Linked DNA regions of Cricetulus griseus. The protein of the gene in region 1 interacts with the protein of each later gene in a biochemical or structural test. Links are inferred from orthologs where the notes say so. Each region holds a gene or a part of one and is shown in the gene's direction. Other genes may lie near its edges.

Region 1 (3,745 bases):
AGAAAATGGCGTTTGCTAGAGTTTCCCGAAAGCCTTCCATATTGGTGAGCTCAGAACTGACTGAGCTCTCGAGGGCCGTCACCAAGCTCTCGTCCCGCCCGCCGCCGCAGGGCTTCCACCCACGGCCAGGGGGAGCCGCCCACCCACCCCTGCAGGGGTGGGATTCGAGAGGGTGTCGGGTGCGAGATGTGAAAACTGGAGCGATCCCGTGTGGCGAAACACGCGGCGCTCGCCCGCCTCGGCAGGGACACTTGTAGAGCTGCAGGGCTCAGCTGGAGTGTACAACCTAACGACGTAAGGAAGTCTCCCGAGCAGGGCCAACATGGCGACGAACTCCTTTTGGCACAGCCCCTGTTCCCTCCTCACGATGGGCGGCCCCACAAACGACCATTGGCCAAGCTAGAGGCGGTGCCAGGGCTTTTTCTTCCCCTCATTGGCCTGAGTATCTGAGGAGGAAGCCAGGTCTCCTCTCCCCATTCCAAGTTCCAGCCTTCGCCTTTTATTCGGCGTCTAATTGGCTGTGAGCTCATGTCAATATGCATCCTGTTCCGGATCGTCTCAGTTATTGACCAATCAGAACTTTCTTAACTGCCCGCCTGAATCCTGATTGGTTTAGATAGCTTGATCCTATCCCATTCCGGCCTATTTCTTACTCTCCTACTAAACGGACTTTGCCCCGGCATGCTCAAGATTCTAATTGGTCCTTGTCCTGTCACTCCTTCCTAAGCTCGTCCTATCACCACCGTTCACGGAGCCCGCCCGGCGAATCACTGGTTTCTCTCCAAGTCGATCTTCCTTATGTCCCGCCCACTCTCACTTCCTGAAGCTTTTATTGGCTGTTAGAGCTGAGAGGGCGGCCTTTTAAGGCGGACACCAGCACGCAAGTTGGTCTTACCCGCCTTTGCGAGGGAACGAGTCTTCCCATTGGGTCGTCTGCCCGCCTTTCTACTGCAAGGCTCTCCTTTCTCCCTCCTTCATTGGGCGGGGCAGCAGATAAGGGGCGGAGACTAGGCCGGGCTTGTGGCGCGCTGCTCCCTCCTCCTTACCCCCCCTCCCTGTCCGGTCCGGGTTCGCTTGCCTCGTCAGCGTCCGCGTTTTTCCTGGCCCCCCCCAACCCCCCCGGACAGGACCCCCTTGAGCTCGCCCCTCAGCTGCCACCATGAGCGGTAAGGATGAGTCCACTCCATGCCTAGGGGTGGGAGGGGAGTGAGGGGGCGCGCGCGAGGGCCGACCGGGCGGTCCCCGCTGTGAGGGGGGGCGGGCGGGAGGCGGCGGCGGCGGCCTTGGTCCCGCCCGGGGCGGAGGGAAGGGAGGGAGAAGGGGCAGTCGCGGGGCCTCGGAGGAGGAGGGGGATGGGCCACCCGCCCCGGGGGAGGGGGCAGCGTGGCCTCGCCCGCCCCCTGCCCGCCCCGGCCACGGGGGACGGGCCTTACCCCCCACTACTCGGCCTGCCGCCTGAGGCTCCTCCCGTCGGGGGCTGGCGCCGCGGGGGCGGCCCGACCAGTGCAGGCCCCGCCTGGGCCAACCGCCTCCCCGGTCCGCCCTCCGGTCACTGCCTGCCCCAGGCCCTCCCCCGCACCCCCGAACATTTCCCTTCCCCCATCTGACCCGCCCTTTCCACGCCCCTCACCCCGAAAACGCCCCTTCCTTCTAAGGCCCGCCCTCTCAGCCCCAAACCTGGGTTCTAAGCCCTAGACCACTTTAGCCCCTTACCTGTATCCTCAGAAGTGTCCCTATCGGTACTTATGATGTACTCTGTCTGTTCCTGTTTTTATTTATTTAGCTTTACACTTGGTCTTTCTCCATCTCTCTTAATCCTAATTTTAGCACATTTTTCCATCCAACCACATGTTGGGTCTCTTCTTCCTCCCAGAATGCTTTTTTTTTTTTACTTTTGAGACAGGGTCTGTGTGGTACTATGAAAACCAGGCTGGCCTTAAACTTTTAGCCATCCTCATGCCTCTTCCTCCTGAGTGCTGAGATTACAGAGTGTGCCATGCCAACACTAGGGGCAACTAGTATTCCTGAGATACTGCCCTCAAATTCCCTTTTTCAGAAATGCTATTTGTCTTGTTTAAGGCCAGGTCTCACTCTAGTCCAGATAGACTTAGAACTGATGAACAGGTGTGAGTCACCATGCCTGGCTTCCAAAGCACTTTTTTGGGGGGTGGGGGTGGGGATGGGGGTTTGAGACACGGTTTCTCTGTGGCTTTGAAGGCTGTCCTGGAATTCACTCTGCAGACTAGGCTGGCCTTGAAGTCACAGAGATCTGCCTGCCTCCGCCTCCTAAGTGCTGGGATTAAAGGTGTGTGCCTTCACTGCTGCCACCACCACCATCCAGCTCGAAAGCGCTTTCTTTTTGGTTTTTTAAGACAGGGTTTCCCTGTGGCTTTGGAGGCTGTCCTGGAACTAGCTCTTGTAGACCAGGCTGGTCTCAAACTCAGAGTGATCCACCTGCCTCTGCCTACGGAGTGCTGGGATTAAAGGCGTGCGCCACCACTGCCCAGCCCAAAGCGCTTTTTGAATGGTTTTTGACTTTAATTTTGTACATGGGGAAATAGTGGCCCATCTTGGACACCATTGAGGCACATGCCTGTTCTGCATGCCTGGCATGAGATGCTGGCATCTCAACTGATGTAACTGAAAATTTCTTTGAACTCTTATTTCTCTTGCCTCCATGTCCCTCTTGCCTCCACTTCCAAATTCTGAGATTTCAGGCCTATCACCATATCTATATCTGGCCCTATTTCCTTTTTTACTCTGCTTTTAAACATTCTATTAGTCATTAGGCTGGTTATCAGAGCCTTATTTTAAACCTTTGGGTGATTTTTTTTCTCCTTCTTCCACTTTAAGTTATTGTTTTGTAATTATTTTTAGATCAAGATCACTCCATGGATGAAGTGACAGCCGTGAAGATTGAAAAAGGTGTTGGTGGCAATAACGGGGGTAACGGTAATGGTGGTGGTGCATCTTTTTCTCAGACTCGGAGCAGCAGCACAGGCAGTAGCAGCAGCAGTGGTGTCGGAGGAGGGCAGGTGAGTGATCAGTCAAAGGTGGGGAAGGTGTTGAGGGTGTAAATATTCTTAGAAAGTTCCTTAATCAAAAAGCTGGGAGAAAAAAAATACAGTAGTGAAGTACACACAGAAAGATAGATGATCTAGAGGGTCCCCAAATAAGAAAGTTGGAACAGTACACAAAAGTCAGCATTTTATTTCTGGTTTTTGCTCTTTATATGCCTGCATTGTTGCTGTTTGTCTGTTGAATACTGCCCCCTAGGCAGGCTATTGGGTGCCACTAACTCCTTTCCTCTCTTCTGGCCAGGAATCCCAGCCATCTCCTTTGGCTCTGCTGGCAGCAACCTGCAGCAGAATTGAGTCACCCAATGAGAACAGCAACAACTCCCAGGGTCCGAGTCAGTCAGGGGGCACAGGTGAACTTGACCTCACAGCCACACAACTTTCACAGGGTGCCAATGGCTGGCAGATCATCTCTTCCTCCTCTGGGGCTACCCCTACCTCAAAGGAACAGAGTGGCAACAGTACCAATGGCAGCAATGGCAGCGAGTCTTCCAAGAATCGTACAGTCTCTGGTGGGCAGTATGTTGTGGCTGCTACCCCCAACTTACAAAACCAGCAAGTTCTGACAGGTCTACCTGGAGTAATGCCTAATATTCAGTATCAAGTAATCCCACAGTTCCAGACTGTTGATGGGCAGCAGCTGCAGTTTGCTGCCACTGGGGCTCAAG
Region 2 (3,645 bases), on another chromosome or scaffold:
TACAAACACAAAATAAAATATTTAAATAGAATTTTAAAGCTGTGTCTGGAGGGCTAGAGAGATGGCTCAGTGGTTAAGAGCACTCACTGGCTGCTCTTCTAGAGGCCCTGAATTCATTTTCATTTTTCAGTGCCCACATGGCAGCTGACAACTGTCTGTACCTCCAATTCCAGGGGATCTGACACCCTCATTCATAACAATGCACATAAAATAAAAATTAAAAACAAAACAAAAAGTCATGCTCCACAGGGACAAAGCTTAAAAAAAACAAAACCAAACTTGAGTCTAGGGCTGGGTGGGTGGTGGCACATGCCATTAATCCCAGCACTCAGGAGCAGCGGCTAGTGGATCTCTGAGTTCAAGGCCAGCCTGGTCTATTGAGTTCCAGGACAGCCAGGGCTAAGTAGAGAAACCCTGTCTCAAAAAACCCAAACAAACAAAAAACTGGATCTAGGGATATATGGCTCAGAGGCCAAGAGTATTTGCTGTTCTTCTAGGGGACCTGGATGCAGTTCCCAGCACTCACATGGCAACACAGAATTGCTTGTAACTCCCAATTCTAAAGATTTTGTGTCTCTTCTGGCCTTTACAGGCCTGGAAATGGTACACAGACATTCATGCATGCAGGTGAAATATTCGTGTATATAAAATGAAAAAAAAAATAAAGAATGACTATTTTCACTTTTACTCTGGGAATCAGCTTTGGTTCAGTGCAAGACAGATAAAGACTGGAGGTGCTTGGGCTCTAGAGTAAGGCATCCTGAACTTTTTCTACTTGTAATTTTTTTCTTTGGGGAAATTTTTATGACCTCAGGTAGTAATGTAGATGCACAAGCAGATCAAGTATTAATAAATCATGTTTAATTTTAAAAAATTATTACTATTTACTAAGATGAAAGTAAATTATATGTTAATGAGGTAGATACTCTTATATAAAGAATCAATCTTGGTCTGGCAAGACGGTTATCAGGTAAGGTGCTTACTGACAAGTCTTGACAACCTGAGCTTGGTCTCTAGACCCTAAATGGTAGAAGGAGAGAATTGATTGCCAAAAACTGTCGTCTAGTTTCATTTAAGCATAGTAGCACAAGTACATGCATGTACACAAATGTTTAAAGGAAAAAAGAGTGAATTAGCCATGCATGTTGGTATGCACTCGGGAGGCAGATCAATGAGTTCAAGGCCAGTCTGGTCTATAGAACCAGTTCCAGGATAGCCAGGGCTACATACACAGAGAAACCCTCTCTTAAAAAGCAAAAAAAGGTAAAATTTGACTGACCGTTTATATAGATCTTTGGTATTTTTTAGCTCTGCTTTCTGAGCACTGCATGCAATTTAAAGGCATGCCCAGCTAGTATTTTGATTTCATGATCAGCATTTCTAAGAATGCCACTTCAAATAAATGTGTAGTATTTATGGCCATTTCAGAAACATTGGAGCTTCTGTCCTAACCCCAAACCAAAATTGATTTGATTGACTTTTTTATGAAACTCATTAATTTACACAGATTTTGTTTTTTTGTTTTTGAAGTAAGGTCTTCTATGTATCCTTGACTATCATGTAACTCCAAAGATCAGCTGACTGTGCCTCTGGATTTCTAAAGGCATGTTTTAAAGTATCAAACACAGAGGTAGTAGTGCTCACCTTTAGTCCCAGTACTCAGGAGGCAGAGGCAAGAGGATCTTTGTGAGTTCCAGGCCAGCCTGATCTACAAAGCAAGTCCCAGGACAGCCAGGGCTGATACACAGAGAAAACCTATCTTGAGAAAAAGAAAAAAAGCAAAATATACTAGAGCAGTGTAATCTAAGAATGTACTGGGTGATAATTATATGCTGAAGAATAATGGTAAGAAAATGCTACAAATCTTGTTTGTAATTAAACCATTCTCTTTCTGTAAGAATAAAAAATATATGCAGTAGGTGTTGGCATTGTGTGACATGACATCATGTTCTCTGTAAGTTTGAGTTGTGTTCAGAACCAAAGCTGTAGTGAAGTCATAAGCTGCAACATGGACAGATAATATGAAAAATAATAGTTCTTGGTGCATTTGGTCTTGAATTAATATTTGGTCTTTGTAGGTTCAGAAAACATGTTGCTGTTGCAAATATTTTTTCACAGCCCATCTTCCCCCATTTAGTTATGTGACCATACATGGGATTGCAAACCATAGTTGAATATGTTTGTTTGCTTGCTTGTTTTGGTTTGGTTTTTTGGTTGGTTTCTTTTTTCTAATGACTTAAGTATTTTTATTTTATATACATTGGCGTTTTTCCTGCACGAATGTCTGTGTAAGGGTGTCCAATACTTTGGAACTAGAATTAGAGACAGTTGTGAACTGCCACATGGGTGCCAGGAATTGCTATCTTCTCAGCCCCTTGTTTGTTTTCTTGAGACAGGGTTTCTCTGTAGACCAGGCTGGCCTTGAATTCACAGAGATCTTCCTGCCTCTCAGAGTGCTGGGATGAAAGGCACATGCCACCACTGCTTGGAACTTGTTTTTATTACAATTGAATGATTGAGATAGGGTGTCACTATATAGCACTGTCTGGCTTGGAACTTACTATGTAGACCAGGGTGCTTTTGAACTCACATAGATCCTCTTGCCCAGTCTCCCAAAGTGTTGGTTGGTCTAGAGAAGGTTGCCTAAAGGTCTTTTGACCTTTCTTTACTCCTTACTGACAGAGCACCTTCTTCAAGGTTGCACATATGATTAAAATTCAGAAGTGTTTGGGAACAGTAAAAGTTTCTTACTGGGTATAAAAATAGCACTCTGAGCTGAACATGGTGACACAAACCTTTAATCCCAGCACTCTGGAGGCAGATACAGGCAGATCTCTTGAGTTCTGGAAGAGCTGGGGCTACACAGCAAGACCTTTTATCAGGCAGAAACAACAAAAAAGCACTGGATTTTCTTTTTCTTTCTGCTTCAGAGGTGCTACAAGTTTGTGGGTGTGGTGTGTTATGCATGCCGTGTGTGTGTGTGTGTGTGTGTGTGTGTGTGTGTGTGTGTGTGTGTGTGTGTGTGTGTGCGCACGCGCGCGCGTGTGTGTGTGAGAGAGAGAGAGAGAGAAAGAGGGGGGGAGATATGAGGGGGTATTAACACCATTCCCCTGTTGACTTCTTAACTCTTCCTGAAACCCTGTCAAATCTGGAGCTCATGCAACTGCTTCTTTTCCCCCTTGATGACCTTAGAGAAATCCTCAAAGAAAACGTCGTGGTGGAACAGTAAGTTCTAGACAAACCCAGAAGCGTTCTCGGGAAACAACTTCAACCCCTGAGATTTCCTTGGAAGCAGAACCCATAGAACTCGTGGAAAGTGGTAAGAGCCAGAATCCTGAACTGTAATGTGTGACAGTGGAGACAGTGTAGTATAGCATGTGAATTAGACCCAGTTTGTGTCTATTAATGCCCATGTGGGGCCTCATGGAAAGTCGCCACCCCCCCCATTTCATATGTATTCCTGAATATATGTCTGTGCACTACATGTGTGTCTAGTGCACACAGAGGTCAGAAGTCATTATATTCCCTGGAACTGGAGTTAAAGATGGTTGTGAGCTGCCCTGTGCATACTGGGAACTGAACTTCAGTCTTTTACAAGAGTAGTAATATTGATAACCTCTAAACTATCTCTCTAGCCCCAGGTCA
Region 3 (3,745 bases), on another chromosome or scaffold:
CTTTAGGTACACCACCACCGCCACCACCACGAGGAACCAGGAGATGATGGTGGTGGTGGTGGTGGTGGTGGGGTTGGCTGCCTCTGCGACAGTTCCCCTCCGGCACCCGCGCGGCGGTGACTGGCGAAGGGCAGCGTGAGCTGAGAAAGCCCGCAGGGGGTGTGGGGTAGCGGGGCGGGGGGCGCGCTGAGACTTTGCTCTCACGACCCCGCCGCCTGCCCAGGAGAGGAGATGAAAATCTCTAGTTTGCTTTAAGCCCCGCTATCGCTGCCTCCGGCTCCAACAGCTACCCCGAACCCGCACAACGGTCAAGGAGGGCGGGGTGGGGGCCCAGGAGGAGCCCCGGGCCCGGAGCCCACAGTACCCCCCCTCCCCAGCTGCTGCCCGGGGCGGCTTCCCTGCCCCCGACCCCGGGAGGGAGGGGTGGGGGCCGGGGCAAGAGCCCCACCCCCGGACACGCCTCGGAAAGGGCTCGCACGCTCTATTTTAAACTCCTAAAGGCACCCAGCTCAAACTCGACCCTGCCACCGAGCGCTCGGGTCTGGGGCACCGGGACACCCCGCGAGTCCTGTGGGACGAGCTTCCCGGGTGCCCCCCCCCCCGCCGCGGGCGCCCCTGAGGAAGGACGGGAGGGGACGCCCCGCCGGTGCCTGTGCCGCAGATGGGAGGGCGAGCTAGCGCCAGCCGCCTGGGCGTGGGCGTGGAGTGCGAGCAGGTGTCTGCTCCGTGACAGCCCCCTCCCCCACCGGCGGCTCGCCCTGGTTCTCCCGCCGCTCGGTTCGGTCCAGCCGGCGGCTCGCCCTGGTCCACCCGGCTCGGTGCGATTTCCCCCACGGCGGCTCGCCCTGATTCTCCCGCCCGCTCGGTGCGGTCCACCCGGCGGCTCGCCCTGGCTCTCCCGCCCGCTCGGTGCGATCCACCCGGCGGCTCTCCCGCCACGCCAGACCCACGAGGACCGCGCTGCCTGCCAGAGGCAGTCTCCGGGCTCAGCCCCGCGCTCGCAGCCCCCGCCTCCCCGGCTCGCCCGGGGTCCCGCCCACTCCCTGGCGGGCGCGAAGGGGACAGGGCGGGGCGGGCTTCCCTCCCCCTCCCCACCCCCCACGTGGGCTCTCCCCAAAGCCTGGATGCCTCCCGCCGCCACCGCGCCCCCCTGTGATGTCCCCGCCGCGCGGCGGCCGCCCCGGCGCGCCCGGTCGGGACGGGAAGCCGGGGGGGGGGTGGGGTGGGGGTGGGCGAGGGGCGTCCCGGAGTCAGGTGGTCCCGGGAGTTCCCCGGGGGAGGGCGCGGCGCCCCGGGGGTTGTGTACACGCTCGGCTGACAGAGCCTCCTGCCGCCGGGCAGCCGCTGATCACGCGTGGCCCCGAGAGCCCATTGGCTGCAGCCTCACACACCTTTGCCGCTGATTGGCCGGGGCCAGGCCCCGCCCCCGGCCCCCGCCCCCGCCCCGCGGCGCGGGGCAGGCAGAGCGGCTACCTGAATGGGGAGGGGGGCAGACGGCGCGGAGCGCGGCGGCGTCGACGTCTCGAGTCTCGGTGCGCTCGCCCGCCGTCTGTGCCCAGGCAGCCGGCAGCAGCTCAGCTCGCAGGCGCCTCGCCCGCCACCCACCCAGCCATGCTCAACTTCGGCGCCTCTCTCCAGCAAGCATCGGTGAGTCACCTGGGGATGCTCGCCCTCCCGCCCAGGGTCGCCGAGCCAGCCGTGGGTGGGTAGGTGGGTGGGGGGCGCGAAGCCCGAGTCCCCGCATCAGCCACGCCTGAGGACCCCGGCTGCAGCAGCGGGGACTTGCCAGGGTGTCCTGCCTGCAGTCTGGGGAGGCCATCGAGGGCATGTGCGCAGGAGGGGGGACCTGGACCAGAGCAGGCGATCCTGTGCCAGCCTGGGTGTCCAGGGGACAAGGAAAAGGGGGGGAGGGTGTCTCGGGGACACCCGGGCGAGCAGGAGAGCAAGCGGGAGGTGGAGGGGTTGCTGCAGCCTCCCCGGGGGGCGCCCTGCACCTGGCACTGGCGGGAGATGCCCCCGTCTGCACCGGGAGCGCAGGAGCCGTCTGCTGCCCGGGGGGCGGGCGCCTGCTCGTCGGGGAGGGAGCGGGATGGGCGGGTGGGCGCGCGCTGCCAGGTGGGGACCGCACGGCTGGGCTGGCCCGGGCTGGGGGGAGGGGACGGCTGTCTGTCTGGCCGGCGGTGGGGCGCGGGGGATGGATGGATGGATGCATGCATGCATAGATGGATGGCACCCCCGGCGAGCGGGCGTCGGGAGGGGACCCCCCATCCCGGGCTGGAGAGGCAGGTGGACGCCTGTGGATGACTCCCCGACACGGGGTGGGGTGGGGGTGGGGGACAGGGCCCCGCCGACAGCTGGGCGAGGGAGCGGGGACCGCGAGACGCGGGGGCCGCGCGCGCGCGCGCGTTGTCGAGACGGGAGCCGCGGAGCCCGTGGGCGCCGCACGTCTGGGAGCCTGCGGAGAACACGGCTCGCCCGGGCCGGGAAGAGGCGGCGAGGGGGGCGCAGGGGACGCGGGTGGAACGAGGTCCCGGGGGGCAGGGTGGGCGGAGCGCACCGGGCGAGCGGGCGAGCAGCCGCTCCCGGGAGGAGGGCGGCGGCGGCTGGGCTTCCGCGGGGACCCGGCGGCGGCTCCTCCTCTCTCCCTCCCTCCCGCAGCTGGAGGCCGGGCTGGGCGGCGAGAGGGTGCACCCCGGGAGCTCCTCGTCCCCGGGTGACCCGGCCGCGGCCTCCGCCAGGCAGGGGCAGAGGCAGGGGCGGGAGCGAGCCCGGCCCCGCTGTCGGTTCCTAAGGGAACCGCGGCTCGGGGGAGGTGGAAGGGGCGGGCGCCGCCCGGTGCGCACTGGCGAGCGGTTGGCGGTGGCGGCGCCCGCGGCCCCCCCTCCCCGGCAGGCGGCGGGAGGCGAGCAGGGAGGGCGAGCCGAGCGGGAGGGCGGGCGGGGGGGGGGGGGCGGGCCGCTCAGGAAGTAGGGGAAAGGTGACGGCGCGGCAATCCCCAGGTCACGTTTCCTGCGCCGGCCCGAGCAGCCGCTGATCACGCTTTGTTCACACATGCCTCGCGCCCCTCCCCCCTGCGCCCCCGCCCCGGGCCGCCCAGCCAATCGGGCGCGGGCTGGCCAATGGCAGGGGCGGGCCCGGTGACTCACACCCGCCAGCCTCATGAGATGAGGGCGGACCCATCGGTTGGTCCCCGCCAGCGAGGATCTCCCCCGCCGGCCGGCCTCCGCCGCCCCGCCCCGCTCGCGCCGCCCGCCCCCGCCCGGCTTCCCTTTCCTGCCTCGCAGCAGCACCGGCTCGCTGCTCCCCTCCCGGCTTCCCTTCCCGGCGCACATTCTTCACCCCTGCCTGCCTGCTGCCTGCCTTTTTTTCCCCCACCACCCCTTTCTTCGCGTCGGTGCCTAGAGGCTTTTTACACTTAGATTACTCCGTGCCTGGCAGCTTACATAAAGGCGCGGACGATTATGCAATTTGCATTGTTAGTGATGTTTCAAGAACAGTGTCTCCCCCCCACACACACACTCTCTCTAAGGGAAGAGAGACATTAAAAAAAAAAAGCTTTAAGCCTGTCTTTACAATTTCATTTTCTTTATTAGCTTTTTGCTCTGTCTTTTTTTTTTTTTTTTTTGAGTGAGTGAGGCTGGTCCTGAACTTGATATATAGCCAAAGCTGGCCTTGAACTCTTGCCCTCTGTCTCTGCTTCCCGATTTATAAGGCTTTTCATGATTTTTGCAATCTCTCCTTGGTC

Evidence for each region.
Region 2: the proteins of Sp1 (region 1) and Rnf4 form a complex in vitro, tested with the Homo sapiens proteins (2 studies listed by BioGRID, with this or other methods). The link is inferred for Cricetulus griseus from reciprocal best matches to the Homo sapiens genes SP1 and RNF4.
Region 3: the proteins of Sp1 (region 1) and Klf10 form a complex in vitro, tested with the Homo sapiens proteins (2 studies listed by BioGRID). The link is inferred for Cricetulus griseus from reciprocal best matches to the Homo sapiens genes SP1 and KLF10.

What each region holds. Positions count from the first base shown.
Region 1 is NC_048595.1:398,784,223-398,787,967, forward strand, and holds the start of Sp1 (transcription factor Sp1), read left to right. Parts: upstream 1-911; 5' UTR 912-1,159; coding exon 1,160-1,166; intron 1,167-1,602; exon of another isoform or gene 1,603-1,739; intron 1,740-2,877; coding exon 2,878-3,035; intron 3,036-3,321; coding exon 3,322-3,745. UniProt on the Homo sapiens protein: Transcription factor that can activate or repress transcription in response to physiological and pathological stimuli.
Region 2 is NW_023276807.1:103,330,543-103,334,187, forward strand, and holds part of Rnf4 (E3 ubiquitin-protein ligase RNF4), read left to right. Parts: intron 1-3,192; coding exon 3,193-3,319; intron 3,320-3,645. UniProt on the Homo sapiens protein: E3 ubiquitin-protein ligase which binds polysumoylated chains covalently attached to proteins and mediates 'Lys-6'-, 'Lys-11'-, 'Lys-48'- and 'Lys-63'-linked polyubiquitination of those substrates and their subsequent targeting to the proteasome for degradation.
Region 3 is NC_048603.1:13,386,724-13,390,468, forward strand, and holds the start of Klf10 (Krueppel-like factor 10), read left to right. Parts: upstream 1-1,474; 5' UTR 1,475-1,611; coding exon 1,612-1,647; intron 1,648-3,281; exon of another isoform or gene 3,282-3,475; intron 3,476-3,636; exon of another isoform or gene 3,637-3,745.